Linked DNA regions of Notamacropus eugenii. The protein of the gene in region 4 purifies or fractionates together with the protein of the main gene of each other region. This does not show direct contact. Links are inferred from orthologs where the notes say so. Each region holds a gene or a part of one and is shown on either strand. Other genes may lie near its edges.

What was found.
Region 1: the proteins of RAF1 (region 4) and LRRC59 purify together in Homo sapiens (affinity purification with mass spectrometry; 3 studies listed by BioGRID and IntAct, with this or other methods). This does not show direct contact. The link is inferred for Notamacropus eugenii from reciprocal best matches to the Homo sapiens genes RAF1 and LRRC59.
Region 2: the proteins of RAF1 (region 4) and TIMM50 purify together in Homo sapiens (affinity purification with mass spectrometry; 4 studies listed by BioGRID and IntAct, with this or other methods). This does not show direct contact. The link is inferred for Notamacropus eugenii from reciprocal best matches to the Homo sapiens genes RAF1 and TIMM50.
Region 3: the proteins of RAF1 (region 4) and CDC25A purify together in Homo sapiens (affinity purification with western blotting; 3 studies listed by BioGRID and IntAct, with this or other methods). This does not show direct contact. The link is inferred for Notamacropus eugenii from reciprocal best matches to the Homo sapiens genes RAF1 and CDC25A.

The regions. Positions count from the first base shown.
Region 1 is NC_092873.1:360,388,775-360,395,658, forward strand, and holds the start of LRRC59 (leucine-rich repeat-containing protein 59), read right to left. Parts: upstream 3,009-6,884; 5' UTR 2,618-3,008; coding exon 2,513-2,617; intron 1,091-2,512; coding exon 1,031-1,090; intron 1-1,030.
Region 2 is NC_092876.1:32,239,737-32,247,479, forward strand, and holds the start of TIMM50 (mitochondrial import inner membrane translocase subunit TIM50), read left to right. Parts: upstream 1-4,731; 5' UTR 4,732-4,807; coding exon 4,808-4,963; intron 4,964-7,743. Other genes in the region: SUPT5H (transcription elongation factor SPT5), read left to right, coding at 1-112, 237-362, 561-645, 840-953, 1,054-1,156, 1,275-1,402, 1,601-1,706, 1,819-1,977 and 4 more. UniProt on the Homo sapiens protein: Essential component of the TIM23 complex, a complex that mediates the translocation of transit peptide-containing proteins across the mitochondrial inner membrane. Has some phosphatase activity in vitro; however such activity may not be relevant in vivo.
Region 3 is NC_092872.1:13,383,115-13,390,052, forward strand, and holds the start of CDC25A (M-phase inducer phosphatase 1), read right to left. Parts: upstream 3,021-6,938; 5' UTR 2,946-3,020; coding exon 2,788-2,945; intron 1,701-2,787; coding exon 1,624-1,700; intron 157-1,623; coding exon 114-156; intron 1-113. UniProt on the Homo sapiens protein: Tyrosine protein phosphatase which functions as a dosage-dependent inducer of mitotic progression. Directly dephosphorylates CDK1 and stimulates its kinase activity. Also dephosphorylates CDK2 in complex with cyclin-E, in vitro.
Region 4 is NC_092874.1:432,306,414-432,313,545, reverse strand, and holds the start of RAF1 (RAF proto-oncogene serine/threonine-protein kinase), read right to left. Parts: upstream 3,007-7,132; 5' UTR 2,878-3,006; intron 1-2,877. UniProt on the Homo sapiens protein: Serine/threonine-protein kinase that acts as a regulatory link between the membrane-associated Ras GTPases and the MAPK/ERK cascade, and this critical regulatory link functions as a switch determining cell fate decisions including proliferation, differentiation, apoptosis, survival and oncogenic transformation.

The DNA.
Region 1 (6,884 bases), on a different chromosome or scaffold from region 4:
TCATGACTTCATACCCCTTCTGCTTCTCTTGGTTTCTCACCCAGTTCCCAAGAATGGCTTTGACTCATGGCTTCTGCTGGATCTGCCCAGAAGAGGAACTAGTTATCTGTTCCCATTCTCAAATTAGCAGCTTTGATGACCTAAGTTATCTCAACAGACACCCTCTGCTGGCCCTACCACCCCTACTCTTCCACCATCAGTCTCTACTGCCAGGGATAAATACATGAACACTGAGCTCCTCTGAGATTTCATACCTACTACACATATAGGTGTACATACACTCCACACTAGCAAAATAACTCTACTCTCCTTTCCCTAAACATGGCCTAAAACTTCTTGCTTTTTATGCATGTGCTGTTTACTCTTACTTGAAGTATCATTTCCTCTACCTTCGACCTGGCCACCATGCAAGACCTAACGCAAATTCTACCTCCTCAAACGTTTTACTGGTGGAAATGATATTAAAGAGCCATTACCATCTGCTTTGCTACTGCACCCTAAGGACCACGGACTTTTTCATTCAATTAGCAGTTAAAACCTTCCATGTGTCTTCCCCATCAGAATGTGAGCTTCTTTAGAGTAGAAGTTTGATTATTCTGTCTGTATCCCAGCCATAACACAGTGCTTTACATGCTTTATTCATTCAGTCCACATCACCCAAACCAGAAGTAATTTCTCCTTTCTCTAAGCTTCTATAGCACTATACAGTTTTCTGATTATGCTTGATTATTTTCTTGATTAATTTGTGTCATCTTATTTCCCCTACTAGACTTTAATTTCCATGAAGATAGAAATGTATTTCATTGTATCCCCCACAGCATATACCATAGGGTCTTACACATTATAAAAATTCAGTAAAATAATTTTAAATTAAGACTGTCCTTATTGATCGCTCCTCCTAATAACAACTACTAGCCTCCATATATTTGATTAGAGCCATTGGCTCTCCTACGGATTCATGCTCATGGCATGTCCCCCAGCCTGGAGCAAGGACATCCCCCCAGGTACTTGGAGGAGAACCACATCTTACCGGTAACGAAGTAAGTTTGTTGCAGGAGAGATCCAGTACTGTGGCCTTTGGAAGAGCAGCCTAGGAAAAGAGCAGAGGAGAAAGGTAAAATCCATATTTGGTCAGAGGTTATTATACTTGGTGACATCTGTTTGCTAATGGAATATCTTCTAAAGTAGAGGAGTCGGAATAGATTAAAAAGCACAAAACAAGAATGAAATGATGACAGGGTTCAAAAAATAGAGCAAAAACTGAGGCCAGCCATCAGTTACTTATGAAAGTATAGAAAGAACAAAGTGTGGCCACAGGGCATGTAGCAAAGGAAAATTTGGATACTAGAATAGTACTTAGGGCTTCAGAGCAATACTAGATCCATCTTAAAAAGTCTTCAGAACCACCCCTTCTGACTAGAGCAGGGTTGCTTTATTTTTGTTTTTTTGGTTTTTTTTTTTAACTTTTTTTGGCCCACACCTTTGGCGATCAGATGAAGCCTATGGACCATTTCTCAGAATAAAGTTGTTTTTTTCTGTTTTCCAAAATTCAAAATGGAAGGAAACACTAAATTTCCATGAAAGGTTAGTGAATATATTTTTTCCATCCAAGTTTATGACCCCCCCCCCCAAATATATCTAACTGCCATTAAGAATTCCTGTCCAATATGCCTTGCTAAACACAGGAAACCCAACTCCATTTGGTTTTGAGTTGAAAGAATTTGAGAATAAGACCAGAGATAAGACAGGAACCAAAAAACTGCAGCTGGAAGGGACTCTGGGGGCATCATTTATTTAGTCTTGATCCACTCAGTCTACAGATGAGGAAAATGACGTCCAGAAATGGAAAGTGACTTGCCCAAGATCATAATGTTAACAAGTGGTAGGGCCAAGAGTTGAACCCCGGTGTTTTAGGTCGAATACTCCTTCCCCAATGTGTGCATCCTAACCTTTGGGCACGCCACTGCCCCTCTTGGGGTTTCAAACTCCTCCTCTGTAAAAATGAATAGCCTGATCCCCAAGGTCTCTGGCTGTCCTAACATTCTAGGGTTCAATCCACTTTCCACATGTTCGAGACGGACCCACCAGTTCAGCCCAACTTTTCCAGCACAAGCAATGGCTCTGGGCGACTTCGAGCAGCTGGGATTGCAGAATTCCCAATTGTCACCAATCCTCAGCCACACCCAGGTCTCCAGGAAGGCCTACTCCTCCAGGCCTAAGAAAGAGACAGCAGGCGCCCCGCTTCTCTTACGCCTCGGATCGGCTGAACCTGAGGTCAGCGCCGGACACTATCTTCGCGTCTCGGCCCCTCATTTCACAGAGAAGGAAACTGAGGCCCGGGGGTGGGGGAAGGGGCATCGCCTAAGACGCCGGGATGGGCCTGGAAGCGGGGCCTCCGCGGCCCCGGCTAGTAGCGGGGCTCCATTCCCCCCCAGAATGACACGTGTCCAGTCCAGGGCCCCGGTTCCCAGACCCTGCTCCCCCTCGGGCCCAGGACGGCGCCCACACTGACCAGCTCCTTGACCGGCACCTCGGTGAGGTCGCCCAGGCTCAGGTCCAGCTCGTTGCCGTCCAGCTTGTCGCGCAGGCTGGCCCCCTTGCCTCCGCTCTTGGCCATGGCTCCGGGAGATGTGGGGAGTGGAGGGGGGCGCGCGAGGGCTCGGCAGGGGGAGGGGGCGGCTTCCGGCGGCGGGCACGCGCCCGGGCACTCCGCAAGGTTCCGCGCGACGGCCGTTTAACGGCCAGGGATCCGTTTGGCGATAACAGCCTCAGAAGCCTGAGGCCCGGACCCCCGCCACGTTCCTGCCCTTCCGACCTCCTCGTACCCGCGGGCCTGGCGCTGCCCCCGCTACCCTCCGTCCAGGATTCCGCGGCCAGTTGCGGTACTCCGCGATCCAGTTCCCGCCTCCGTCACTGCGGCCGCCAGCCACTTCCGTGTCCACGTCTTCCCTCCGGGAGACACCGAGGCGCCTCGGGTGGAGGGGGGCTAGAGAGGCTAGCGCATGCGCGAGTGAGCGCGATGCCGCCCCCTAGTGCTGCGGAGGCTCCCGCGGTGCGCGTGGAAAAACAGTCTGCGCTCTAAGCAAGAGGGTTGGAGGTTGTGCACGCGAACGTATTAGACCCTGAACCGTGTAGTCAATGAGTCAGCATTTATTAAGCGCCTTCTGTGTGCCAGGCACTGTAGTAGGCACTGGGGATAAAAGTACAAAAATGGAACTGTCCCTGTTCTCCAGGTATTTCAGGAAAGAGACTGTATAACGTCTACAGATACAGATAGAAATCCACATGCACACACATACACAATACATACGTGAATATACACGTACACAGATCCACTATTTGTATACATAGCTTCACACCATATACACAGTATTTAACTCTGCATGTACACAATTTACATCAGATCCACTGTATAGACTGTATATATCCATACACACACATATGTATGTGTCACAGGTAACATACAGGAGGCACTGGAGGTCTTTGGAATCCAGCTTCTAACAGGTTTACTCTGGATCTGGTCAGACAGGCAGACAGCTTCAGAGGGGTTACTAATCAGCTTTATCCTAGTCTAGTCTTCTCCTAAAGGTTGATGATAATGGGAGAACCAGCTCCTGCAGCATTCCCCAATCACCCTTCTCCAAGAGGTCTGCAAGAAGAGGGGGCAACTAGCCCTACCTCTCCATGGCATAAATTGAGAAAGGCACAGTTTGTGCATTCCTCTAAATCTCCTCAAACTTCAATGGGAGCTGGTTGAGGAAGGTATTCCTACCTCATTCCTCTATGCATTACCAGTGGTTCGGCCCCCCCCCCCCCCCACTCACTGATCAGTGCCCAGTTGCTTTATACGGCAACAAAGAAGGCATCTTGCCAGCATTAAGCTCACAGGTTAACCAGCAATATCGTCATTCTGCGCAAGCATAGTAAATATTATATTATGTCACTCCTTACCCCACCGCACAGCCTCGGTGGGACTGTCACTGTGATTCTGGGAATGGCTATCTTAAATCATTGGAATTATTCTGGGAATTATTGTCAAACACCTGGAAACTAGACATTGCCATGCCCATGGATCCTGAGAAACTGAACTCTAAAAAAGATAACAAAATCCTTCTTACATACAATGTATGCATGTATATAGTAGATCTGAGGCATCATTGATTAGGCAACTTGATGATTCAGCATATAGATAGGCTTGGACTCAGAAAAATCTGATCTGAAGTTCAAATTTGACCTTTGATACTTACCAGCTGTGGGACCTTGGACAAGTCACTTAATCTCTGTCTCCTTCAGTTTGCTCTTCTACAAAATGGGAATAATAATAGCACCTACACCCCCCCCCAGGGTGTTTGTGAGGATTAAATGATAAAATATTTGTAAAGCATCCCAGCACAGAATATACTAAATAAATGCTTATTCCCTTCCCATTCCCCTCCTCTAAAATGAAATATTTGTAGAGCACTTTGCAAACCTTCAAATGCCATATAAATGTAAGCTATTATTAATTATTGTTGTTGGAAACTCTCTACTAATACTGATCCTCACCTTTTTATGGGGTGGCTCAGAGAACTAAGAGGTTAGGTGACTTGTCTAGGGTCACACAGAAAGTGTCCAATGGATCTCTTGGACCCAGTTTCTTCAGTCAGATCTTTATCCACTTGACAGCACCTTGTGAGATGCATACACAATCCAAATCATCGCTCTTTGAAACGTTTTTCTCTGATTCAAAAGATACCATTCTCATTTTGTTTCACACAGATGAATAAATAATCACCACCACCTCTGAAGGTTGTGTAATATGATTATTCCTGTTTTAGAAATGAGCAAACTGCCCTGCCCTGCTTCTTCCAAATTTCCCTATTTCTGACGAAGGCACCATCAGTCTTCCAATGTGCCAAGTTCAAAACCCCTATGTCATCTAGCTGCTGCTGTTGTAAGGAATTCTGCAAGGCTGAATCATGAACAAAATCAGAGACTATCTGGAAGGTGGAGGTGAGGAGGAAGTAGTTCTGGTCACGCAGGTCAGCTGGTGCCAAGGCAACAGAGATTAAAGATGGAGTGGCCAGTGTGAGGAAGAGCAAAAAGGTAAGTTTATCTGGAGAACAGAAGTCATGGACAAGAGACTGAAAAGATAGGCCCAGCTTGCAAAGGGTCAAACAGAATAGCATGCATGTTATTGTAAAGACAATAGGAAGCCACTGGATTTCACCGAGGAGGGAGATAATATGATCAGATCCACACTTAAGAAAATCTCTTTTGGTTGCTAGGTGGAAAATATATTTGGAAGCATTACAGTGCCTATTCTGGCCCACTGCCTGAAGACCAAGTGTGCTACATTTCATCTTTCCCCCCAGGGTTCTCTGGTACCCTTAAGTAGTTTGGGAAGTGTCTGGTCTTTCTGCCATTGGCTCAATCCCCCACCAATGAGGTTTTCCCAATTTTAGGGGGTGTTTGGCACTCCAGTTCCATTTAATCAGTTAATAGTTGGATTTGCTTTTAGGAAGGAGTGTTTGCTTTAAAAATATAGCAAGAACAAACATGGAAAACATTCTCTTCCTCCTCCCTCTCCCCAATACCACCTCAATCTCTAAAGAGAAGAAGGGGAGGAGGTTCACAACTTAGCTCATTTCCTATATAGCAGAGTCCCACCAAATTCCAAGTTCAAAGCATCCCTTGGGCTCAAGTCCCAGTCACCTGGCTTCTTCAGGGCTTCTCTGCTAAGTTAGCAATAACATCTAGCTTGGAATCTTATCCTCCAGGATCACTGTGGCTCAAGTCCAGATCTGGAGACTCCACTTCTTGTACCTAGAACTGAAAAGAACAAATGAAACAGAATAAAGCCCTTCATGGGAAAAGGAGGGTGGTTCTTACCCCCACCCCGGCCCGCAGCTCCGTGCTGAGGATGTATAGCACCTCTCTGCCTTATACAGTGCCAGAAAGGGAAAAGAGAGAAGAAAAGAAGGAGGGAGGAAGGGGAAGGAGAGAAAGAGAGACAGATCAGGGGTAGGAAGGAGAGAGAGGGAGGGAGAAAATGGGGGAAAGAGACAGAGAAAGACAGAGGCAGAGAGAACACATCCTCTTCCTTTTAAAGATACAGCCTGTGGAAACACACTGTTCCCATCCATATAGTAGGGGAATTAATTATTTCTTCTCCCAGAAGCAGGTCCCTGGTATCTTTCATGTGGTGCCTCCTAGTTAGGTGATCTTGGACAACACAAAATAGTCTTATTGCAGAAGAGAGAGGCTTGAGGTGGGGAGACCAGATGTTGTTGTGTTTGTCCTTTGTTTTCAAAGAAGACCATACCATCAGAGAAATGATACCACCAGATGAACAAAGAGATATGCATTTTAGGTACATGGCTCCAGTGTGGATTCCTTTTTGCTTGATTATTTTTAGTTGTTACAAAGTACTCTCCTCCGACTCTTGTTTATTTTTTTTTCTCCTAGTTAGGGATTGGGGAGGGGAGGTTAAAAATATTAGTTAAAAAAATACTCATTGAAAAATTTTTTAATTACAAAAAAGAGAACAGAAAGAACTTCAGAAGGAAGCAAAGCCATATGGGACAGTTTTGAAAGCAGTAGTAGTAGTATAGTGGTGGTGGTGGTAGTAGTAGGAGTAGCGGTGGTGGTGGTAGGAGGAGTAGTTATAGTAGCTGCTAGCATTTATATTGTGCTTTCAAGTTTGCAAAATGCTTTACAACTATTATTTTAGCCTCACAACCACCCTGGGAGGTGGGTGCTATCATTACCTCCATTGCCTTCCATGAGAAAAAGGAAGCAGACAGCAGTCAAATGACTTGTTCAGGGTCACATGGCTAGTAAGTATCTGTGTTAAAACTGTATATTGTTCTGGTTCCCTGCACTCCCATATCCTTTCTAGTAAG
Region 2 (7,743 bases), on a different chromosome or scaffold from region 4:
GCATCAGGCAGTGACTCGGAAGAAGGATAACCGCTTTGCTGTGGCCTTGGATTCAGAACAAAACAACATTCACGTCAAGGACATTGTGAAGGTCATCGATGGTCCCCATTCGGTAAGGATGGAGGTGGTGCACTGGCAAGGGAAGTGGAGTTTGGGCTGAGCTGGTGGGGAAGGGAGAAAGCTTGAGGGGCAAGAGTAGAACCCTAGAGGCATATTCACTCTGTCTTTCTCCTTAGGGCAGAGAAGGAGAGATCAGGCATCTGTACCGAGGATTTGCATTTCTCCACTGCAAGAAGCTGGTGGAAAATGGGGGCATGTTTGTCTGCAAGACCCGAAACTTGGTGCTGGCTGGGGGCTCCAAAGTAGGTCAGGTTGGGGGCCAGCTGGTTGCAGGGGGGTGGGGGCAGGGGACCATCTTTGAGAAGTAATTATAAAAACCCCCATTTCATAGAATTCTCCAAAGTGTGCAGAGCCTGTGACCTGGGGGAGAGGGGGAGGAAGGCAGGGGTGGGGCATCCTCTCTCCTCACTGCTTACTGCCCTCTCATTTTTCTCTCCCAGCCTCGAGATGTCACAAACTTCACCGTGGGTGGCTTTGCCCCAATGAGCCCTCGAATCAGCAGCCCCATGCACCCTAGTGCTGGAGGTGAGCAGGGAGGTGGGGAGGGATGGAAATCTGGGAAGCCCTGGCTTGGGGAAGAGACTCAGACCAAACAGAACCTGGGAAAGGGGCCTGGGACCAGGACAGGGTGATGGCTGAAGAGAGGCGAGTCAGGAAGGAGGTTACTGGGGATCTCCCACACTTTTGACCTCTCCCTTCCTGCCATTATGATCTTATAGGTCAGCGGGGAGGATTTGGGAGTGCTGGTGCTGGTGGCATGAGCCGTGGCCGGGGCCGTAGAGATAATGACCTTATTGGGCAGACTGTTCGCATCTCTCAGGGTCCATATAAAGGTGAGTCTGGGCTGGTGTTGAGGAGGAATGGATAATGTAGGGCTCTTGAAGATGCTGAGCGTGGATGGCCCCCAACCCTTCCTGTGCCTTCTTTGCCCAGGCTATATTGGGGTGGTGAAGGATGCCACTGAGTCCACAGCCCGAGTGGAGCTTCACTCGACCTGCCAGACCATTTCTGTGGATCGCCTGCGGCTCACCACAGTGTTAGTAGAAGGGGAAGGTGTTTTGGGGCTGGGAGGAATCCATTGTGCCTCACCGTCCCCTTTGTCCATACACTATCTGTCTTTTCTTCTCACTCTGCCCTCCCGTGTTTCCCTGCAGTGGCACCAGACGTCCAGGGGGCATGACTTCAGCCTATGGACGTACTCCGATGTATGGCTCTCAGACACCAATGTATGTCCAAGGCTCCCGTACTCCCATGTACAGTTCACAGACGCCTCTGCATGATGGTGAGTCTCCTCATCCTGGGGCTATCCAAGGGCTGAGGAATAGTGTGTGAGGAAAAGGAAAGAATGTGTGTGTGTGTCGGTTTGTGTGCGTGTGTACACACGCACATATTCTTCTGGGAGTCGGTGATGAGGACAGCCCTTCAGGCTGATGCAGACTAAGCGGCTGGGATCCCATGGCCCTGTCTTCCTCTTGTGCAGGCAGCCGCACTCCACACTATGGTTCCCAGACTCCCCTTCATGATGGCAGCCGTACACCAGCCCAGAGTGGTGCCTGGGACCCCAACAACCCCAACACACCATCCAGGTAAGGACAGGGCCATGTCAGGGGACTTGGTCATGGGGAGGGTCTGAGATGGCTCTGCAGTGGGGGTGAGTATTTTCCCTCACCAGCCATCTTGTTTTCTCCTCCCATGCAGGGCAGAGGAAGAGTATGAGTATGCCTTTGATGATGAGCCTACCCCATCCCCACAAGCCTATGGTGGGACCCCCAACCCCCAGACACCAGGCTATCCTGATCCCTCATCGCCACAGGTCAATGCACAGTACAACCCCCAGACTCCTGGAACCCCTGCCATGTAAGTGCTGATGGGGCCGCCCCCCTTGGCTGCTTTTCCAAATCTCCAGGTTTTCCTCCACTCCATGGCCTTGAATCACTTCTCTAAGGTGCCTTCCCCTCCCTGACTTGTCTCCAGGGGACTCTTCTCCCTAGACTCATCGAGGTGTAAGGCAGGGGTGTTGGTCTCCCATGGGCCCAAACCAGATTAAAGTGTCATTAAGAAACGTTTAAGAACGTAAATGAAAATGCAAGAAGACATAGGTAACTTAGGTTACAGTTTAGAGTCAGTCAGTGTGGGGCTGTAGGAATCCTCAAGCATGGAATTTGAGTGGGAAACCCCTGATGTGAGGGAGCTTAGAGATCAGTCCCATCCCTCAGGCCAAGCTGCTGCCCACCCCCTTCCTGCCCTCCCTGGAAGCATCCCTTGCCCTGTTCTGACCCTTCATGGCCTTGGACCGAGGTGGGAGCTGTGGGTTCCTTCTGTCCCTATACTCCCTGGCCTCTCCCTCAGGTACAACACGGACCAGTTTTCACCCTATGCGGCCCCCTCGCCACAAGGTTCCTACCAGCCCAGCCCCCAGAGTTACCACCAGGTGGCGCCGAGTCCTGCTGGCTACCAGAACACCCACTCCCCAGCCAGCTACCACCCCACACCCTCGCCCATGGCTTACCAGGTGCTGAGCAGAGACCTTGGGGAGACTAGGGCTGGGTGGGCTGAGAGGGCTGAGAACATGACCATGTGGTCGGGGCTTAGCACACAGGTGCTTAAAAAGTGTTTAGTGAATGGGATGATCACCATAACTGACCCTTCTTTCCTTTTTAACCCTAGGCTAGTCCTAGCCCTAGTCCAGTGGGCTATAGTCCAATGACCCCTGGGGCACCATCCCCAGGTGGCTACAACCCTCATACACCAGGCTCTGGTATTGAGCAGAACTCCAGTGACTGGGTGACCACAGACATCCAGGTGAAGGTTCGAGACACCTACTTGGACAGCCAGGTGGTTGGGCAGACAGGCGTCATCCGAAGTGTTACGGTATGTAGGGGAGATGCACAGAAGGGCCTGAGGTGAACTAACCCCAGCTCTTCACCTGATGAGGCAGGGAAGGGCTTTGTCTTCTTTTTCTGGGCAGCAGCTGGTGGGAGGTGAGGAGGTTGGCTCTCTGGTGCTAGGCCTGGGGGCCTGGACACCTGGGGCTTTGGTGGGGGTGGAAATCAGATGGCTTGAAGTAAGCCTGGTGACTGGTGCTGAGTGCTTGAGTTGGAGTGGCTTTAGGGTCCTGGTATGGGGACTGATTATCCCTATCCCCTAGGGGGGTATGTGCTCTGTGTATTTGAAGGACAGTGAGAAGGTGGTCAGCATCTCCAGTGAGCATCTTGAGCCCATCACTCCTACCAAGAGCAACAAGGTGAGGGGGTCTAGGGGGTGCTTGGAGAGGGTGGCGTGAGAGGGCAGAACTGCTGGGGTAGCAGCTGGGGTCGGAAGAAAGCACTTCGGCTCTCCTCTCCAAAGGGGGGTCCCTCTTGCCCTAGCACCTCGCTGAAGGTGGGATCCAGCCTCTTCTTCTCTTGTCCAGGTGAAGGTGATCCTAGGGGAGGACCGGGAGGCCACAGGGGACCTGCTGAGCATCGATGGGGAGGATGGCATTGTGCGGATGGACCTGGACGAGCAGCTCAAGATCCTCAATCTCCGGTTTCTAGGGAAGCTCTTGGAAGCCTAGAAGGAGAGGTGGAGGGGCCTCCTCACCCACCCCCACCCCACCCCATCCCCACGATTCTCCCCAGGCAGGGAGCTGGGAGAACTTGGCTGGTCTATTTTTGTTGGTTGCTTTTTGAAGATTCTCTAACCACCTGCAGGGCTGTCCACGGAGACGTTTCCCAGCTCTAGCCCACCCCAACCAGCTTGCTTTGTCTGTGATCTTTGAATAAAAGATTGTTTGATCAGTGGTGTCCTTCTCAGCTGTGAAGGGATCCTGAGGTGGGGACTGGGCTGGGGGGAGACAGGTTCTGACCAAGCCAGCAGAGGGGGAAAGTCAGACGGCTGAGCGCCTCCCGCCCTCGCCCTCTGCTCTGCTTCCCCAGACAGACGGAGCGCGCTGGGCACCTGGCAGGCTCCCCTGGCTCCCCTGGGGTCCGGGATCCTGCGCGCTCCTTGGGGCCAAGCAGCAGGGGGCCCCCCCTTTCCGGACCCTCGCCTGAAATGCTCCCAGTGACCGCCCTGACCATGGGTCTCTCGGTGGTCAAGTCCCCAGGCCTTTGCTCTCTGTGGGGCGGCCTCCCTTCCCCCTAGGGTTCCAACTGGGCACCCCTCCATCTCCAAGTCATGCCTTCTGACCATGGGTGACCCCAGGGCTGCCCTGCACCCTCCGGCTTCCCTCGGGATCTCAGCCCCCGGGGATTGGGATCATTCACCCAAAGCTGCGCGGTCTGCCCCGCTCCATCCACCCCAGGACCCCCCAAGCCCTCCACTATCCTACCCCCTGCTGAGGCGCGGGAGGGCTGAGAGCACGTGTGTCGGCTGGCTTCGGCCGCAAGAAGCTTTTTTGACCCTCTCTGGGCCCCGTCATGACCGGCGCTTGACTTCTAGACGCTCAGGTGTTTGGGGGTGGGCGAAGAGATGCCGAAATTGGGGGGAGGGGAGAAATGCAGAAGACAACCTCCTCTCGTTGGCTGAGGTCTCAGCTCTCGCCGAAGTCCATTGGCTGTTCTTGAAAGGGGCGGGAAAAACAGTAACTTTGTTTCTTCATTGGCTAGAAGCGCGAGCCCCGCTCCGTGCACTCATTGGTCGGGCCCCGTGGGAGAGGGCCGAACGGGGCGGGGCTCGGCGGCGGCGGCGGTAGCGTCCGAGCAAGATGGCGGCCTCTGTGGCGACTGTGGCGCTGCCCTCACGCCTGCAGGGCTGGCACTGGCTGCGACTGCGGTTGCGGCTGCGGCCCCAGCTCGGGCTCGTACCCTTGCCCAGGTCCTTATGCGCGCGGATGGCAACTCCGCCGCGCGGCCCAGGACAGGTGAGCAGTGCGCGTGCGCGCGGGGAGCGGACGGGGAGGGGGTCTGGGGGGCTGCGGAGGGAGGAGGAGGTGTGACGCGAGCCCACGTTGGGTGGTGGGTTCTCCAGGTTCTAAATTCAGCCCCCCCCCCTTGGTCTTGCACCCTTGTGTGGCGGGCTCCCACGTGGAACCCGGGACCTAGTTGCTAGCCCCGCCCCCAGGCACCCCACGTCCGGTTACCCAGAGCCCCCTTCCCCAGTGTCCCTGGTGTCCCGATCCCCAGGCTCCCTCCCCCTCCCCCAGTGTCCCTGGTGTCCCGATCCCCAGGCTCCCTCCCCCTCCCCCAGTGTCCCTGGTGTCCCGATCCCCAGGCTCCCTCCCCCTCCCCCAGTGTCCCTGGTGTCCCGATCCCCAGGCTCCCTCCCCCTCCCCCAGTGTCCCTGGTGTCCCGATCCCCAGGCTCCCTCCCCCTCCCCCAGTGTCCCTGGTGTCCCGATCCCCAGGCTCCCTCCCCCTCCCCCAGTGTCCCAGGTGTCCCGATCCCCAGGCTCCCTCCCCCTCCCCCAGTGTCCCAGGTGTCCCGATCCCCAGGCTCCCTCCCCCTCCCCCAGTGTCCCTGGTGTCCCGATCCCCAGGCTCCCTCCCTCTCCCTCAGTGTTCCAATCCCCAGGCTCCCTCCCCTTCCCCCAGTGTCCCTGGTGTCCTGATCCCCAGGCTCCCTCCCCTTCCCCCAGTGTCCCTGGTGTCCTGATCTCCAGGCTCCCTTCTACTCCCCACAGGGGCCCCAGGCCCATCTGGATCCCTTGCTTCTTGCTACCATCAAAGCCACATATTCCCACATCCCCAGCCCCTGGAACCTCCAGGGACTCAAACGTCCCCCTGCCCCTTCACGACAGGACCCAGGTCTCTGCTTCTGTCCCTGGGACCACCCAGGCGACCTTTGCTCCCAAACGCACACTTTCTTCCAGACTTCCATTATCTGGGTCCCCCATTCCTAACGTCCTTTAGAGTCCCCAGTGCCTGGACCCAGCCCTCTGACCCCCCCAGGCCCAGCGCCTCAGGAGCTCAGCTCCCAGGGCTCCAGAGACAAATCCTCAACTCAGCAGCAGCAGCTTGTGGGGAAACGTGGTCTTTCTGTACCAGTGGATGTGGCAGAGAGAAATAGGTGGGGGGTGGGGCATCAGGGAGAAGATCCAGAAGAAGGCAATTAAACAGGCTAGGGAGTCTTTGGAGGAGATGAGAATGGAATGCATGACAAGCACAGCCTAGGCAAAGGCTTGGAGGCTGGAGACTGAAGAGCAGCCAGATTGCTGAAACTGTAGCTTGTTATGGGGGAAGGATGTATAATCCTGGAGAGGTTCTGGGAGCCAGGCTGTGAAGGGTATTAAGTATTCCTTCCAGTCTTGTTCTGGGGTGCCAGAGGAAGCCTGGATTGGGGAGAGAAGGGTTGCAGTGATCCAGGTGAGGGGTGAGAGGGGCACAAATGAGCTCTGGCCACCCCCACACCCGGCCGCCTACCCTTCAGGGGCCAGGCATCTGGCTTTTGATGGGACTCTGAGACCTGTGGCCATTGGCAGGTATTGGTGGTGAGCCTGGCCACATGCTGGCCTCAGTTACCTCGTCTGTAAAATGAGGGTCTAGTAATCCCTCTAGAACAGGTAGCAGCACAGGGGTGTGATGCTCCAGTGAACTAATGTCTCTGAAGACTTGTCATCATTCCTGAATGTCAGTTGACGCTGTTGTTGTGTTAGGGGCTGCTAGGGAGCACCGTGGTGCACAGATCCCAGACCTGGGCTTGCAGGAGTTGAAATCCAGCCTCAGATGCTTAACCACTTCTTGCCTCGGTTTCCTCATCTGTAAAATCGGGATAATAACAGCACGTCTCCCCAGGGTTGTTTGAAAATCAAAGAAGACACTTGTAAAATGCCCAGCACTGGGCTTGGCACATAATTATGCTCTGCAAGTGTTGACCACTTAAGTACTTAGTAGGGTGCTCAGCACACAGTAGGCATTTAGTCAATGCTTATTTCTGCCTTTATTTTTACAATTTTTGTTATGCAGTTCTTTGGTTTTTACAACATCTCCTGTATAAGTATATCTCTACCCCCCTACCCCTTGACTTATCCTTGGAAAGGGAGAACAAACAGAAAAAGGAAAGGGAGCAGTTTGCACCAAAGTCACACCCTCCTGGTGGCACCCCTGGGTGCCTGTCCTTCTCTGGCATGGGTCATCCGTGAAGCTTGGGGTTATTTGGTTATTTCTGTGGTGGGTGTGTCCTCTCGACTTCCTTAGTCACAGGAGCCCCCTGGTCTGGGCCAGGGCCAGGCCCTAGGAAAGGCTGATATGGGGCAGGGAGGGAGCACCTTCTGCTATGCCTTCCACACTCTGTGTTTGTTGCCAGTTCTTTGTTTTTACCTAAGGTGACCCTTGGCATGTGGGGGGGGGTGGAGCTTTCCTTGTCATCAGTGACCTCTTTGTAGTAGGGGCCTGGCACTGCCACCTTTGGGTCACAGGGCATGGTCTCTAGGTATGTTTTATAAGCTTCTTTTCCAATTTGCTTTTTGGATTGGGTGTTGTGGTTACCCACCCTGGGGTCCAACTGGATTGGTGACTGAGTTTGAATCCTGGCCCTGCCATGCCCCATCTGTGACCTTGGGCAAGTGAGCCTCTTGGTCTGCCAGTATCTGGTCCCCTTGGCACTTCCCAGTCTGGGACTATGGAGCCTGCCACCTCCAGGCCACATGTGGCCTTCTAGCTCCTCAAGGGTGGCCCTTTGACTGAATTCAAACTGGGACTCAGAG
Region 3 (6,938 bases), on a different chromosome or scaffold from region 4:
AGTGCAACAGCATTCACGTGGGACATCTTAGTCCAGATTCCTAGTCAATCAGGATTCTAATAATATTCTCATTTGGTATTTAAAAAAAAAAATTAAAAGAAGCAAATACATACTTTTCTTTTCTATCCAGGGGCCCAGGAGAATCCAGACAAAAACCTATTGGGGCACAAAAAAAGTCTTTACTACACGGCCATTGTGATCCAGAGGTTTTGTAAATTGTTTTTATAGCTTAATTTCTTTTATTATTAACTCTAAACATCTCATTTGAAATCATTTCAAACTTTTAAGAAGCCAGTGGGCTACCCCAGGAACTTCAGGGTGAACATGGTTTGTAATTACCTGAGACTCAGTATCTGTTTTTTGAGGCAATCAGCCTACAGTGACGGACTCCAGATTGGTTCAGGTTGTATGTGTGTATGGAGTGGGGTGTGTGGCGGCACTTTACATGGATTCTGACATAAAAGCTAGTGTTCATATAGGGCATGTTATCCCACAACCCTGGGAGGTAAGTGCTATTATTATCACCTCCATTTTACAAATAAGATACTGAGGCAGACAGAGGTTAAGTGACTTGTTCAAGGTCATCTGAGGTCAGACTTGAATTCAGGTCTTCCTGACCCCAGGTCCAGAGCTCTATTTACTTTACCAATCTAGCTGCCTTTGAAGGAGACATAATGCTTCCCTCTGCTCTGGAGTTACCATCAGTGAAATAAGACTTAAGGGAAAAGTAGGCTAGATGAATTGTTAAACCATCTTCTGAGTATTCAGGTAGGGATTATCTGGTTTATGGTTAATATCCATGTCATCTCCCTCTCAGATGGCAAGTACTTGATCAGCCCTGCTGCAAGTAGACTGCATCTGGTCAAAAGGCACCAATCTCTAATTCAGATCAATTTATCCATGGGTAACAGGAACAAATACAAATTAGAGCCACTGCGAAGAGATCTGGTAGGTTTCTGACTTATGTTTAAGAAAATGGCACCTAACAAGGAATTCTTGCTCCCCAAAGACAGAAGATCTTAGAGGTTTAATATAATTTATATACCAACCTCGGAGTAGCCTGGACTCACCAGCCCCCAGGCAACTTTTATTTTCTGGGCATTCAGTCACAATGGAATCTGCATACTACTTACCCTCAAACCATTTTTCACTTCCCTCTTCTCCTTCCAAGTGGTAAGAGATAACCATGCACACTGGAAATCTGAAGAGAATCAAACTTTCCTCCAGGTACTCTTCTACATACCCCCCCACTTCAACCAAATGAACCACTTACTATTCCCAGGACCTGTCTTGTCCTTTCCTACCTTCCTTTAACATTCAACAAGCCTCTGATTACACCATTCATTCCCTTTGTCTGGAGGGTCACTCTACTCCAATCTCCATTTATTCCTACTGAAAATTAACCTGTTTTCAGACACTGCAATAATTCATATTATACTATTTCTATGGCACTTATCACATACTGTCTTACCTTTCAATTACTTATGTACATGTGCCTCCTGTATTAAATTAGAAGCTTCATGAAAAAGAGGGGCTTGTTGTATCTCGTCTCCTTCCCAAGGCCTCCCCCAGCACAGTGGGCACATACAACAAATATCTGTTATGCGTAGAATGAAAGAATACCTGAATCTGTAGACTCTGAGGAGCTTGTCCGCTGCAGGCTGCCGCTCTTCTTTGTTTCCAGCTGATGCTCACATTCACTGCACACAAAACCAAACCATTCTTTACATGCAGTTTTGGAATCTGATAAGAACAACTCCTCTTCTCCACGGACTATGAGTCACCGTGAGACAGAGGGAAAACATCAAGCTATTTAACAGCTTTTTGGCCCTACCTGCTGTCCCACAAGGACCACCTCCCGCAACCACAACTCCTCTCCAGCACAGCACCTAAGGCCCGGTGGGATTCAAAGCTCTTAATGCCACCCAGGCCCCCGGCCCTCCACCTCCAGAAGGAGTACCTCCTTACTCTTGTGGGGTTGCATGCTTATTTGAGGGAAATTCAGAACAAGGTTACAATGGAAACTAGTATTCCAGAAACTGAAAGGAGTCCAAGGCAAGGAAGCAAGAGGGTGGTGTGGCTAAGGAGGGACAAGCCTTCTGTTCAGCCTCCTCCCAAGCATCTCTCAGACCTACTGGGGCGCTGCGGAACCACCCAGGCCCCTGGCAACATGGAGGCCAGGGGCCGAGCCTGGGCCACAGGCAAGGTGCTGTGGCTAACTTAGCCATGTGCCTAAAAGACGGAAACGGAAGGCTCCCCCTGGAGACCCTGCTCAAGGCCTGTAGAGAGAGGGGTGGGGAGGCTTTAGAGCATGGGAAAGCTGGGGGAGCCGAGAGCTGGCGGAGATGGAGGTATGAGGGAGGCGGTGAGAAGGAGCCGGAACGAGGAGGCGGTGGTGATGGGGAAGGCTGGAGGGGGCAGTGGAGTGAAGGAAAGGGGAGCAGGATGGGGGGTTGGAGAAGAATGGACGTTGTTGGGGGGACTGTGGAGTCTGAAGTATGGTGCACACTGCGGGGAGAAGGAAGAGGGAAGGAAGGTGGGGTAAAGGACAGGAGGCTGGAAATCAGCCCATTGTAGGGAGGGGTGGTTATGAGGAGCAGGAGGGCAGGTGCGACGGGGCAGAACGTATGTGCCGCATAGGTTCGGAGCCCGGACTGGGCGATGAGCCGGCCCAGCGAGACCCAGGAGGGGCAGTGACTTGGCCAAGGTCACTCCCCGGGGGCGCTGCCCAGGAATGACGGGGCCGGGGGGGCTCCGGGAGGGCCCAGGCCGCCCCGCCTCTCTCACCTGCCCAGGCCCCGCAGCTGGTCCATGGTGACCGCCAGGTTGGTGACCGGGGACAGCCCCCCGGGGCCGGCGGGGAACAGGGCCTTGACCACGGCGGGCGGAGAGCCGCAGGCGAAGTGGAGGCGGCGGCGGTGCGGGGGCTCCGGGCCCAGCTCCATCCGGAGCAGCGGCGGCGGCGCCGCCTCTCTTCTCTCCTCGCCCCGCGCCGCGCCGCCCCCACCGCCTCCCGGAGCGCGGGCCCGGCCCGCGGTCAAACACAAACACGGCCCGAGGGCAGGCCGCGAGCGATGCCCACGCCGGGGGTTCCGGGGCCGCGCCAAGCCGAGGGTTAAACCCAAACAAGCCGGGCGGGCGCAGGGCCGGCGGACCTCGGGCCGGGGGCGCGGGCCCGATCGGCCCAGACGCGGCGGCGGCGGCGGCGGCGGAGAGCGGGGAGCGGGACCGCGGCAGCCCCCGGCGGACCTCCTGCCCAGCTGCCCGGGGGTGTCGCAGGAGCCGCTCGCAGAGTACCGCTGCTGCCCCGCCCACCTTTCCTAGTTGGCGCCAAACCCAAGCCACCAATCAGAAAACGGGACCTCCGTTCCACCCCCTGAACGGCAGCCGAGCTTAACCAATAAAAATTCAAGGAGGGGAGACTGTCGGAGACCCGCTCCGTCACTAAGCCTCTCTAGAGGAGGCGGGGCCAAAGTCGAGAAGCGGAAGTAGGGGTGGGGGAAGGGCGAACAAGGAGAAGGAGAATGAGATCCAATGTGTGGAAGCGGCGGCTCCCAGCATGCCACGCAAGCTAGCCAAAGGAACCGCCCAGTCCGGCGGAACTGACGCTGCATTCTGGGAGTTGTAGTTCCTCGTGGCCGCTAGCTTGGATTTCTCTTTTTTCTCTCTACGCCTCCCTGGCAGCCTAGAAGTTTAATTTCCACATTGGCCCGAGGATGTTTTGCTCTTGGATGACCATAAGATGGCTGTAAAGATGAGGGGTGGGGGCATCTCTTGCTTTGGTCACTGGCTCTGCTGTCAGAAGCATGTGGGCCTTGGAGCCCACAGGGAGGAGCCTTCTCCCCTGCCCCCAGCAGCCTGGCAGCTGAAGAAGTACTCAGCCATGCTTTGGATAAAGACAAAGTTCTAACAAAGTGGGGGAGTCCCTGGAGACCCCCAGAAAACAAGCCCAAGGAATGCCTGAGCTGGAGGAGGCCTGGGCCCTTTGGCCAAGGGCAGGCAGAAAGCCACTTGTAGGACAAAAGCCAGCTCTGGGCCTGCGTTTCCACACTCTAGAGGTTTTGAATAAAATGTGGAGTCCAGAGGGACCTCATAATGTAGTGGAGTCAACCCCGGCTTTGGCTCTCAGCACCCAAGTCAGAATCTGGCTCTGCCACTTAACTGTCAGCGTTGAGTCAACAAACAGTTCTTTATCAAGGACCTCAGGCTGGGCGTTGGAGTCAGGAGGGCCTGGGTTCAGATCTGCACTTGGAAACTTAGTAGTCGTGTGACCCTGGGCAGTTATCCTCTGTTTGCCTTAGTCCACTAGAGGATAACATGGCAAACCACTCCAGTATCCTTGCCAGGAATGTGTGGCATTGTTGCGTTATGGTCCGCAGGCTCACTAAGAGTTGGGCATGACTAACAACGTGTGCCAGGCATTGTGTTAAGTGCCTGAGATACAAAGGAAGGTAAAAGACAATCTCTGCTTGAGCCCTCAAGCAGCTCAATTTAAAGGTAGAGACAATGTACAGCATATGCAAATAAGAAACGCTGGATAAGTTGTAGATGATACCAGAGGGAAAGTATTAGATCAAGGAGGGCTTCATGCAAATGGTGGGGTTTTAGGTGAAGCTTGAAGGAAGCCCGGAGGTGGAGACTAGGACAAAGAGAGTTCCAGACCTGGACACAATCAGTGAAAATGACTGAGTTTTATGAGAGGAACAGTAAGGAAGCCAGTGTCAATGGATCACAGAATATATGGAGAGGAGTATGATGAAAGAAAACTAGAAAAACAGGAAGAGGCCAGGTTATCAAGGGGTTTAAGAGCCAAACAGAAGATTTTATATTTGATCTTGGAGGTGATAGGGAAGCGCGGGAATTTATTAAATTGGATGTATATGTGTGTATGGAGGGAGGAGGGGTATGATCAGAATTGTTCTTCAGGAAGTTTTCTTTGGAAGTTGAATGGAGGATGAAAAGTGAGGCAGGGAGACCAACCAGCAGGGCACTGCAATAGTTCAGGCATGAGGTAATGAGGGTTTTCACCAGGGTGGTGCTAATGTGGGTTTTAGAGGTTCAGGGACCCCTCAAGGACTGAAGTACCCGAAAGGGTCATCTAGAATGAATTCATGGACTCAAGCATTCTTTAAGTCAAGTTGACAAAGGTTTATTGTAATGCCAATATGGTAGGCAGAGCTCCTTAAGGAACTAACTCCGCAACTTAACAGGAGTGAGCTAAAGCTTATTTAGGAAAAGTAGTGGATTATCTGGCAGAAAGTGATAACATACAACCTTGGTCACAGGAGTCATTCATTACTGGATACTAGAGGAAGGAGTTTCTAGGAGGTGTATTTTTGGTCTATTGTGTCTGTGGCAAGATAGCTTTGAGAGTTGATGTCTATAGCTTGATCTCTGGATTGTATATGATAACTGTGGGAATCAATACATGATAATTCTGTGGTTACAAGAGAGTCCTGTTTTTACAAGGGAATTTCTTCAGAGGTCAGCTTGTTCTTGTAATGGGGAAAGATAGTTTGTCTTACTGGGGCCCACCCATGAGTAATTGAGGGGAAAGGTAGTTTGTCTTAGGTGGGCCCACTCAAGAAAACTGTCAGGGATAGTGTTTTGAAACTAGGGAGAAATGTGATCTTGAATTTGGGGTCCAAGCACAAGCACCTCATCAGTGTCAGTGTCAGAGGACAGAAGGGGATATACAAGAGACCATAAAGGTAAAATCAGTAAAAATAGGAGTTGGCAACAGATTGAATATAGAATGAGAGAGAGAGGGAGAGAGGGAGAGAGGGAGAGAGGGAGAGAGGGAGAGAGGGAGAGAGGGAGGGAGAGAGAGAGAGAGAGAGAGAGAGAGAGAGAGAGAGAGAGAGAGAGAGAGAGGAGTAACAATAACACCTAGGTTGTTTGTGAGCTGGAGTGATTGGGAAGATGGTAGTAGCAGTAAACTTTAAAGTAATAGGGTAGTAACAGTAATTTATAGAAATAGGAAAGTTAGGAAAAGGGGAAGGTTTTAGAAAAAAGGCAACAAGTTCATTTTTAGACATGTTGAGTTTAAGTTATCTACAGGACATCTAGATGTCCAACAGGCAGAGAAATCATTTCTCTGATGGCATGGTCTCCGACAATGAAGGACAAACACACTGTAGAAATGAGAGACTAGAAGTCAGGACAGCGCTTAGGGCTGCATAAGTAAATCTAAGAATCATCTGCATAGAGACAATTGAATCTATGGGAGCTGATGAGATCTTTAAGAGAAATAGTGTAGAGAGAAGAGGACTCAGTTTAGAGCCTTGGGAGATATCTAGCTATTGGGCAAAACAAAAAAAATAATAAAAATTCATTAAAAAAAAATAAAACCTGATAGGAGGAGAAGGGAGGGAGGGGAAAAATCTAAGATATATGGAAGTGATTGTAGAACACTGAAAACAAATAAAATAATAAAAAAATAAAAAATAAAACCTTCGTTTTACATGATGAGTTTAGGGTGTTTAAGGAATATCTAGTTCAAGATGTGATCAGATAATTACAAAGGTTTTTCTAGCTCTTAATCCTATGATCCTATTAATTTAAGATCAGAGGGATAGTAAAGTAAAAGTAAAGATAAAAGTAAACTTTTATCTAGCTTCTACTATGGAAATGGTGTTGCCTTAAAGTCATCTAGTCTAGTAGTTCCTATTTCCCATTTAGTGGTTTGTGATGATGGTCCCAGGTGTAAAACAAAATCTTTAATATCACCTTAAGCAGTTAGTAATTGCCCAGTTGTGTTGCAAATATATTTTTTCCTTTGTGATAACATATATGTGCATGTTTGAAACATTATGGGTTTGTTTTTATAGCAATTAGAAACTATCATGTCAAATCCCAAAGACTCAACTAAAGAAGTAATTGAAACAATGAACAATTTTGGCAAAGTAACAAGTTCTAAAGTAAATCCATGTAAATCA
Region 4 (7,132 bases):
TGGAGCAATTCAGTTTTTAAATCTGAAGACTTTTGCTTTGAAGATTTTCACTCCTATGAACAGAACTTTTGTAAGTCTATTTAAAACATTTTAATGTTTAAGCTTCTCAGTTATACCCTTTCCACACTTCCAATGACTGACAAATTAATCTACCATCTTTCAATAACAATCATTAGGATAAGAAATTTAAGTCCGCACTAAGGTATACAATGATGTTTAGCTAAAGACCTACTCCCAAGGTGTCTATAATACTGTTAAATGAAATCCACCTCAAGCAGTTTTTCTGCCATTAAATGATACATTACCAAAGTAAAATACTATGAGGCCATATAATTGCAAATCACACATAAAACTTAATCACACATAAAAATTATTCTGCTTAATTTCTTAATTTCTGCAGAAACAGCTTGTAATATTAACTGCATAGAATAGAGCTTTTTAAAAAATTTAAACAATCTATGATTCTATTTCATAAAGAGTAAAATTAAACCAAATTGAATTATTTCACTAGAACACAGATACTGAGTTGAGAGTTACAGGGGATAAAGATTAACAAAATTTTGCCTTCAAGAAACATAACTCCAGAAAGCTTTCAGATTCAAAGAAGCTTCAAGGAAAACAACTTAGGAGTGAAAATTCAATCTTTATATTTACCCTAATATTTAATACTCCAGATTTCATACTTTGTTTTAAACTACAAAAGCAATCAACTTCTGATATGAGTCTGAGGTTTCAATTATGAACCCAAATATTGTTGTTCTCCAGTGACCCAGTCCCTCCTAACCCTGAGTTATATTAAACCACACCCAGTAAACTTTTTTTTGGTGAATTTCGCAAAGATCTTCTATTTTAAATGTTAATTTGAGAGAATGCTCCGAGGTAGTGAAACATAAAATAGTTCCCTCCTGGAAAACACAAACATGTCTCCACTAACTGACAATGATAAACCCCTGTGTACCTAATTAGACAAGTTCTAAACAAAAACAGTAACAAGTCTATTCTCCCCTAGTATTAGCCTTCAAATGAAACAATTGTTTCCATTTCAAAACAACCCGACTAGCATTAGAGATATTAAATATCAGCCTCTGACTTAATTGTATATGCATTACATACCAAAACAGTATGACTTAGAAATTACTGTAATAAAGGAACATTGTCACCACAGTCAATACAAGAGCATTAGTGCTGTTCTAACAAACTTGTGGATATGAAAACCTTTTGTGTGTAAAAATGATTTTAATTAGAAAACGAATGCATTTCAAGGTTAAGAAAAAATTCAATTGCACACTTAACCTTGGATACGGCCACTATAACTCACTCAGACGTCATGGAATCACCTTTCTGATGTCATGGTCCTTCGTGAACCAAGGGCAAACAACATGGGTACTGTTATTGTTGTTAAGTGTGTGTTTCCAGGTGGGGGAGTTAACTGTCTTTTTCCAAGTTCTCTACCGTCCACAATCCTCAGATTTCATCTTGCATGTTTAGATGCTGCCCAACCGTTTCCAACATATACTAACATACACAACTAGAACACTAAAAATTAGTCTGAACTACATTTTACAATCTACCCTTTTGTTTTTAAGGCAACCTATAAAAAACAAGGCCTAAGAGAACATTACTCATTACTGCCTAAGTACAGAATACACAACCTGAAATCCCACGTAACCAAGTAACAAGGAAGAAACAACTAATATTGTTTTGCTATGATAAAAACCGCCATTTCAAAAGTTTACCAGTTTCAGCATGGAGAGCACAAAAGAAATCTGGTTCTCAAACAGAAAAGATAATTCTCATTTAAAGGGACAAACACTAAAATAAACTAATTTCCATAGGACCCCAGTCTATGTTTACCATACGCCGGGACTGCCCTATGCAGCTGGTCATACACCCAAGAATCTGCCCGTGTCCTGCTAACATTATGTCCACAAAAGGAAACTGACCAAGTGATGTATGAAATAAACGAGAAGGAATGGAGAAAGAATCTCTTCACGAAGAACGCAAAGCTTAGCTCACACTCCAGGACCAATGTTTCCCAAGCCTTTTGCAAATGAGTTTCTTACAACACCGCCTTCGCTTTAGAATAGCATTAATTTACTTACTTTCAGCAAAGTCAGCCCCAGTTCCTTTCTCCAAAAACTACCAAGCCCTCGATCCATTTTCACCAGGCAAAAGCATCCTCTTCAGCGCAAAAGAACACAGGTTCTCTTAACTATTCCACTCGCCCGACCACACGCACACAAGGAGAACTCAGGATTTTCTCCTCCTCCCCATTTTCACCCACCCGGCCCCCCCCCCAAATAAAAAACCCTGGGGAGAGAGGGGGGGACAGGACTGCTGAAGGGAGAGGCGCCGCCAGGAGCCCAGGGTCTCTCCCCGTCTCCAGCTGCACCGCAAAGGTCCCATTGCTCCTGACACCGACTTCGCTCTGGGAAGCCTTCCTCAGTGTTTACCAAAACTCGGGGCTGCCAGGCTGGCCTCGCACCCCGAGCCTCAGCGTCTGCCGACTCGCAGATGTCACTTCCCCGATCGCCTTCCCGGCCTCCACAGGGAGGAGGCGTCGGGGGTCCCTTCTACGCTCCAGATCTACGATGGCCCCCATCCCAGGGCCTCCGTTTCCTCATCGGGACGTAAGGGGGGAGGGTTTCTGGCATCTCTACATCTATGAACCACCCCCACTCCCGGCCTCAGTTTCCTCATCTGTGACGGGAAGGGCTCAGGGCCCTTTCCGGCGCTGCCCGGCCGAGGCTCGGCGGGCTGTGCCCGTCTCCCTTGGCCCGCGTTCCCCGGAAGGGCCGCGGCCTCCTCAGGCGAGGAGCCGCGCCGGGCCGGAGGCCCCGCTCTCGCCTGCCGGGCTGAGCCGGCTCGGCAGCCTACCTGCGGGGCCGGTGCGCGCCGCGTGCGTCCCGTCTCGCCCCGTCCCGTGCGTGCCCGCGGCCCGGGCCGAGGCGGCAGCGGCGGCGCGTCGAGTGCGCCCAGCGCCCAGGCCCGATCAGCGGCGGCGCGTCCCCAGCCCGGGGGAGGGGGCCCCGGGCGGCCCCCGCATCGTCCCCGGGCAGGGGCCCGCCCGCCGGCCGCCGCAGAGTCGAGGGCCCGGGCCGCCCGCCGCCGCCGTCCCGGCCCGGCCGAGCCCGTGGAGGGGCGCTCTCTGCCCGCCGCGGCGCCCACGCTCGCGCTCTCGCTCCGGCGCCCGCTCGCGCTCGCTTCCTCACTGCTGGCGGCGGCTCGCTGCCTCCATCTAAAATGGCGGCCTCAGCGTCCGCGACGAGGAGGCTCGGCGCTCCTCGGCCTAACCTGCGGCGCCTCCCCCGCGCCGCCCCCACCTACCGCGGCCCCCGCCGCCGGCACGGCCCAGGCGCCCATTCATCGGCTCCGGTATCGTTCCCTCTTCCCTGGCTCAGGCCCCGCCCCTGGAGGCGGGGCCTCGGCGCGCCTGCGGCCGCCATTTCGAACTGCTAGCGAGCGGGCGGGCGAGCGGGCGGGCGAGCGGGCGAGCCCCGGGACCGAGGCCGGGAACCGGGGACCGGGGCGCCCCGAGGGCCGAGGCCGGCAGCTCCCGCGGAGAGGATGGACCGCTGCGGGCCACGACGCCGCGGGGGTCCCAGGCGAGCTCCCTCCCCCGTAGACGGCGCCCTTTTTACAGCTGGGGAAACTGAGGCTCCGGGAAGGGCCGGGGGGCCGCACAGCTCCACGCGGAAAGCTGCGTGACCGCCGCGGTGACCGCAGCCATGCCGCTCTGTGCACGGCCCCTCTGCCCCTCGCAGCGAAGCTCACTTCCCGGAGGAGCACCCTGAGGCAGACGGGATGCTGACGGGCAGCGTCTACGCCACCCTTCGAGGCTTGCAGAGCGCTTAGTAGGTCGCCCCGTTGGACCTCGGCTCCCGCAAGGGAGGTGCTGTTACCCCGACTTCTCCGGCAGGGCAGCAGTCCCGGACGGTGGTGATCGCCGGCGCGTGCGCAGCCCTGGCGCGGACGGGACGGTGTCGGAGGCAGGCTTTGGACTCGGGTCTTCTGACTCCAAGGTCATCCTGGGGACGCCCAGCGGCCTCGGGCCACGTGCAGAGCTGAAGGGCCCCCAGCCTTTTACCGGGGAGAGGACACGAGGGGATTGGCACCCAGACCCTCTGACGCCGAAGACCCCAGTGTTCGCCTGTCCTGGCATACAGGACGTGCCCCCCGCCAGCCAGCCTGGGTGCAGCCGCACGCGTGGCCGCCGGACTTGGGCTGACCAGCTTGCCAGGACGGTCTGTTCTGGTATTTCTCGTAGAATTTGTTCCTGGACGTTATGAAAGACTCCAAGAACCAGGACTGTAGGGCCGTGCTTTTTTTAAGCCTCCTTTGAAGTCAGAGGGCCTAGGTTCAGTTCTCAGCCTTGGGACTCCCTGCCCGTGGGACTCTGAAACACCTCCTGCCTCCCTGTGAAATGCAGACCTCGGGCCAGGTAGCCCCCGAGGCCGCTTCTGGCTCCAAGTCTGTGAGGCTCCTTAAGCAGCCAGGGACCCTAGTGTGTAGAGAGAACACTGGGCCTGAATTCAAGGGCACCCGAGCTCTTCTCCTGTATCGCCAGCTCATCTCACTACTCCACACCTCAGTTTCCCCATCCAGAAGATGGGATAATAATACCACCCACCTCAGAGTGTTGTGAAGATTCAGTGAAAAAATATGTTCAAAATCCTTTGCAAATATAGATGCTACTAAATAATTATGTCTTTCCCAAGCCTTTAAGGAGTTTACAGTTTGGAGAAACAAATGTGAAGCAGCAGCTTTATCTCTGGCACTTCCCTTAATCTTTTCCTTTTCCTTACTCCCTGCCCCCCATGCTGAGGAGGTGATTTCTTCCTACTTAAATTTATCATGAGACTCCCTGGACCTCTTTTTTGCAATTAGTCATTCTCTCTTACAGTCATTTTTGTCTTTACACCCACATTTGGTTGTAAGCTCCTCAGGAGCAGGTTCAGTGACTTAGCTGTCTTTGTATCCCCAACAATTAGGAGTTAGCCTTGGACAAACGTTAGTTTGTTGTAAACTAAGGCTGTAATTGGCCTAATGTAGTAAAGGGGGGCTTCAGGGCAAGGGTGTGTCTTGAAAGTGAATGAGAAGACTGTTATCTTAGAGCCCTGTGTCACTTAGAGATTGAGGATCAGACCCTTCCCACCAAGACTAGCTATATGCATCCTATTTCCCTTTTCTGAGATTCACAATCCTAATTACTGATTGATGAATTAAGGAGGATGATATCTGTATTACTTACCTCACAGAGTTGTGGTTCAGATCTCTATTGAATTCAGGATATATACAGAACTTTGTAAATCTTAAAGGCTTTATAAACTTCAGTTGTTTTCTTGGAGAGCAGTGGGCACAGATGTTTAAAGGATTCTTCTTCCCCCCTTAAACTGATCCCCGCCCAGTTTTTGTGTTTTTTCTTTCCTGCCCAAAGCACTTTGAAGTTTCCAGGAGAATTGCCACCTGAATAGAGGCTGGGGCTGCTGCCAGTCTTAAAAGATTATTAGACAACACAGCTTAACCAGGCAGAGCTCCATAGGAAACATTGGGGTCAGTTGTGTGTAGGTGTCTGTTGCCCCAGGTGTGGCCTTATCTATTTACTGGGTGCGCCAGTCTGTCCCCTCCCTCCAAACTCTCCTTATGGTGCTGCTTCTTTTAATTTCCCATTTTAAAATACATAGGATTCTGTTTTTTCAGCAAATCCCTTTCCCATGCCTCATCTGCGTGCCCTGTTTTCTTCTCACCACACTATTTCCTTAAATCCAGTTCTCTGCCCAGGATCAGAAAATTTCATGTTTGGAAAGATCACCTTGTCCTACCAGCACCTGAAGAAAGATCCAATACACTTGGGGCATCTAGGTGGTCCAGTGGATAGGGTGCTAGCCTTGGAGTCAGGAAGATCTGAGTTTAAATCTAGGCTTAGACCCTTACTATGGGTGTGACCTTGGGCAAGTCACTTAACCCTGTTTGCCTCAGTTTCCTCATTTGGAAAATGAGCTAGAAAAGGAAATGACAAACCAGTATCTTTCCCACAAAAACTCCACATGGGATCACAAAGAGTTGGACATGACTGAAATGACTCAAATACAAACACCTGACAAGGGTGTTTTTCCTTAGAGACCTCAAGTGATGACCCACTACCTTCCAAGACAAGCCATTCAACTCTTGGATAGTTCCAGTGTGCTAGGAAAGTTTTCCTTAGGTCAAGCCTAAATCTGCTGTTTGCTCTCACTGTTATCTCAGTTGTCAAACAGAACAAGTCAATCAGTTAAGTGCTTATTGTGTGCCAGCTACTGTGGAATAAAAGACAAAAATGCCCTGTCCTCACACATTCATATACCATATGAATTCAACTATTTTCCAATAAGTTTGATATGGTGACTTTCTCTGTGCATATTCAGCCCCCCAGGGTCAAGTTCAGAGGGAAGAACGGAATGGTGGAAATGACCCAGGGAGGATTAGAAGGGCAAACCAAGATCTTTGAAGTCACTGGCAAAGAAGGGGTCAGGACTGGCAAGTGACACTGGCGATGGACTCTGTTTATTGAATGATTAACTGATTGGAAATCAGGGTGAAGACAGAAATCAGATGGAATGAGAAGGAATGAGAGAGAAGTAAGAAAAATGGCATTGGAATTAAGGAATAGCTTTGGAGTTTGGCATCTTGGGAGGTAGCACAGTCCCAGATAGTAGTGAAGTTTAAGGTGTAACTGCATTGCTTTGTGAATAAAGCGGATTGAGGACAGAAGATTGTATCATCAGACTTGTGAAGAAAGTTAAACAATACTTACTCATAAGTGAGAGGACCATATGACAGCAATGGATTCTGTTTTAGGAAGAAAGATGACCAGAAGAGGCAGCAGGGTAGAGATATAGGGTTATGGGCGTAGACCTAGGAAGGACATCAGAGACCACATTGTATGATTTCTTTCATCCTCTACACTGACCCCATTTTTATAGATTAGTACGTTGAGGCCCAGGGAAGTTAAGTAACTTGTATAAAGTCACAAAGATCAGAGGTAGGATTTGAACCCAAGTCCTCTGACTCCGCAATTGCATCTTTCCACTGAAAGCCAAGGTTATAAGTGTGGCTCTGCAACTTGTATGACCTTATATCTGTCACCTGTGCT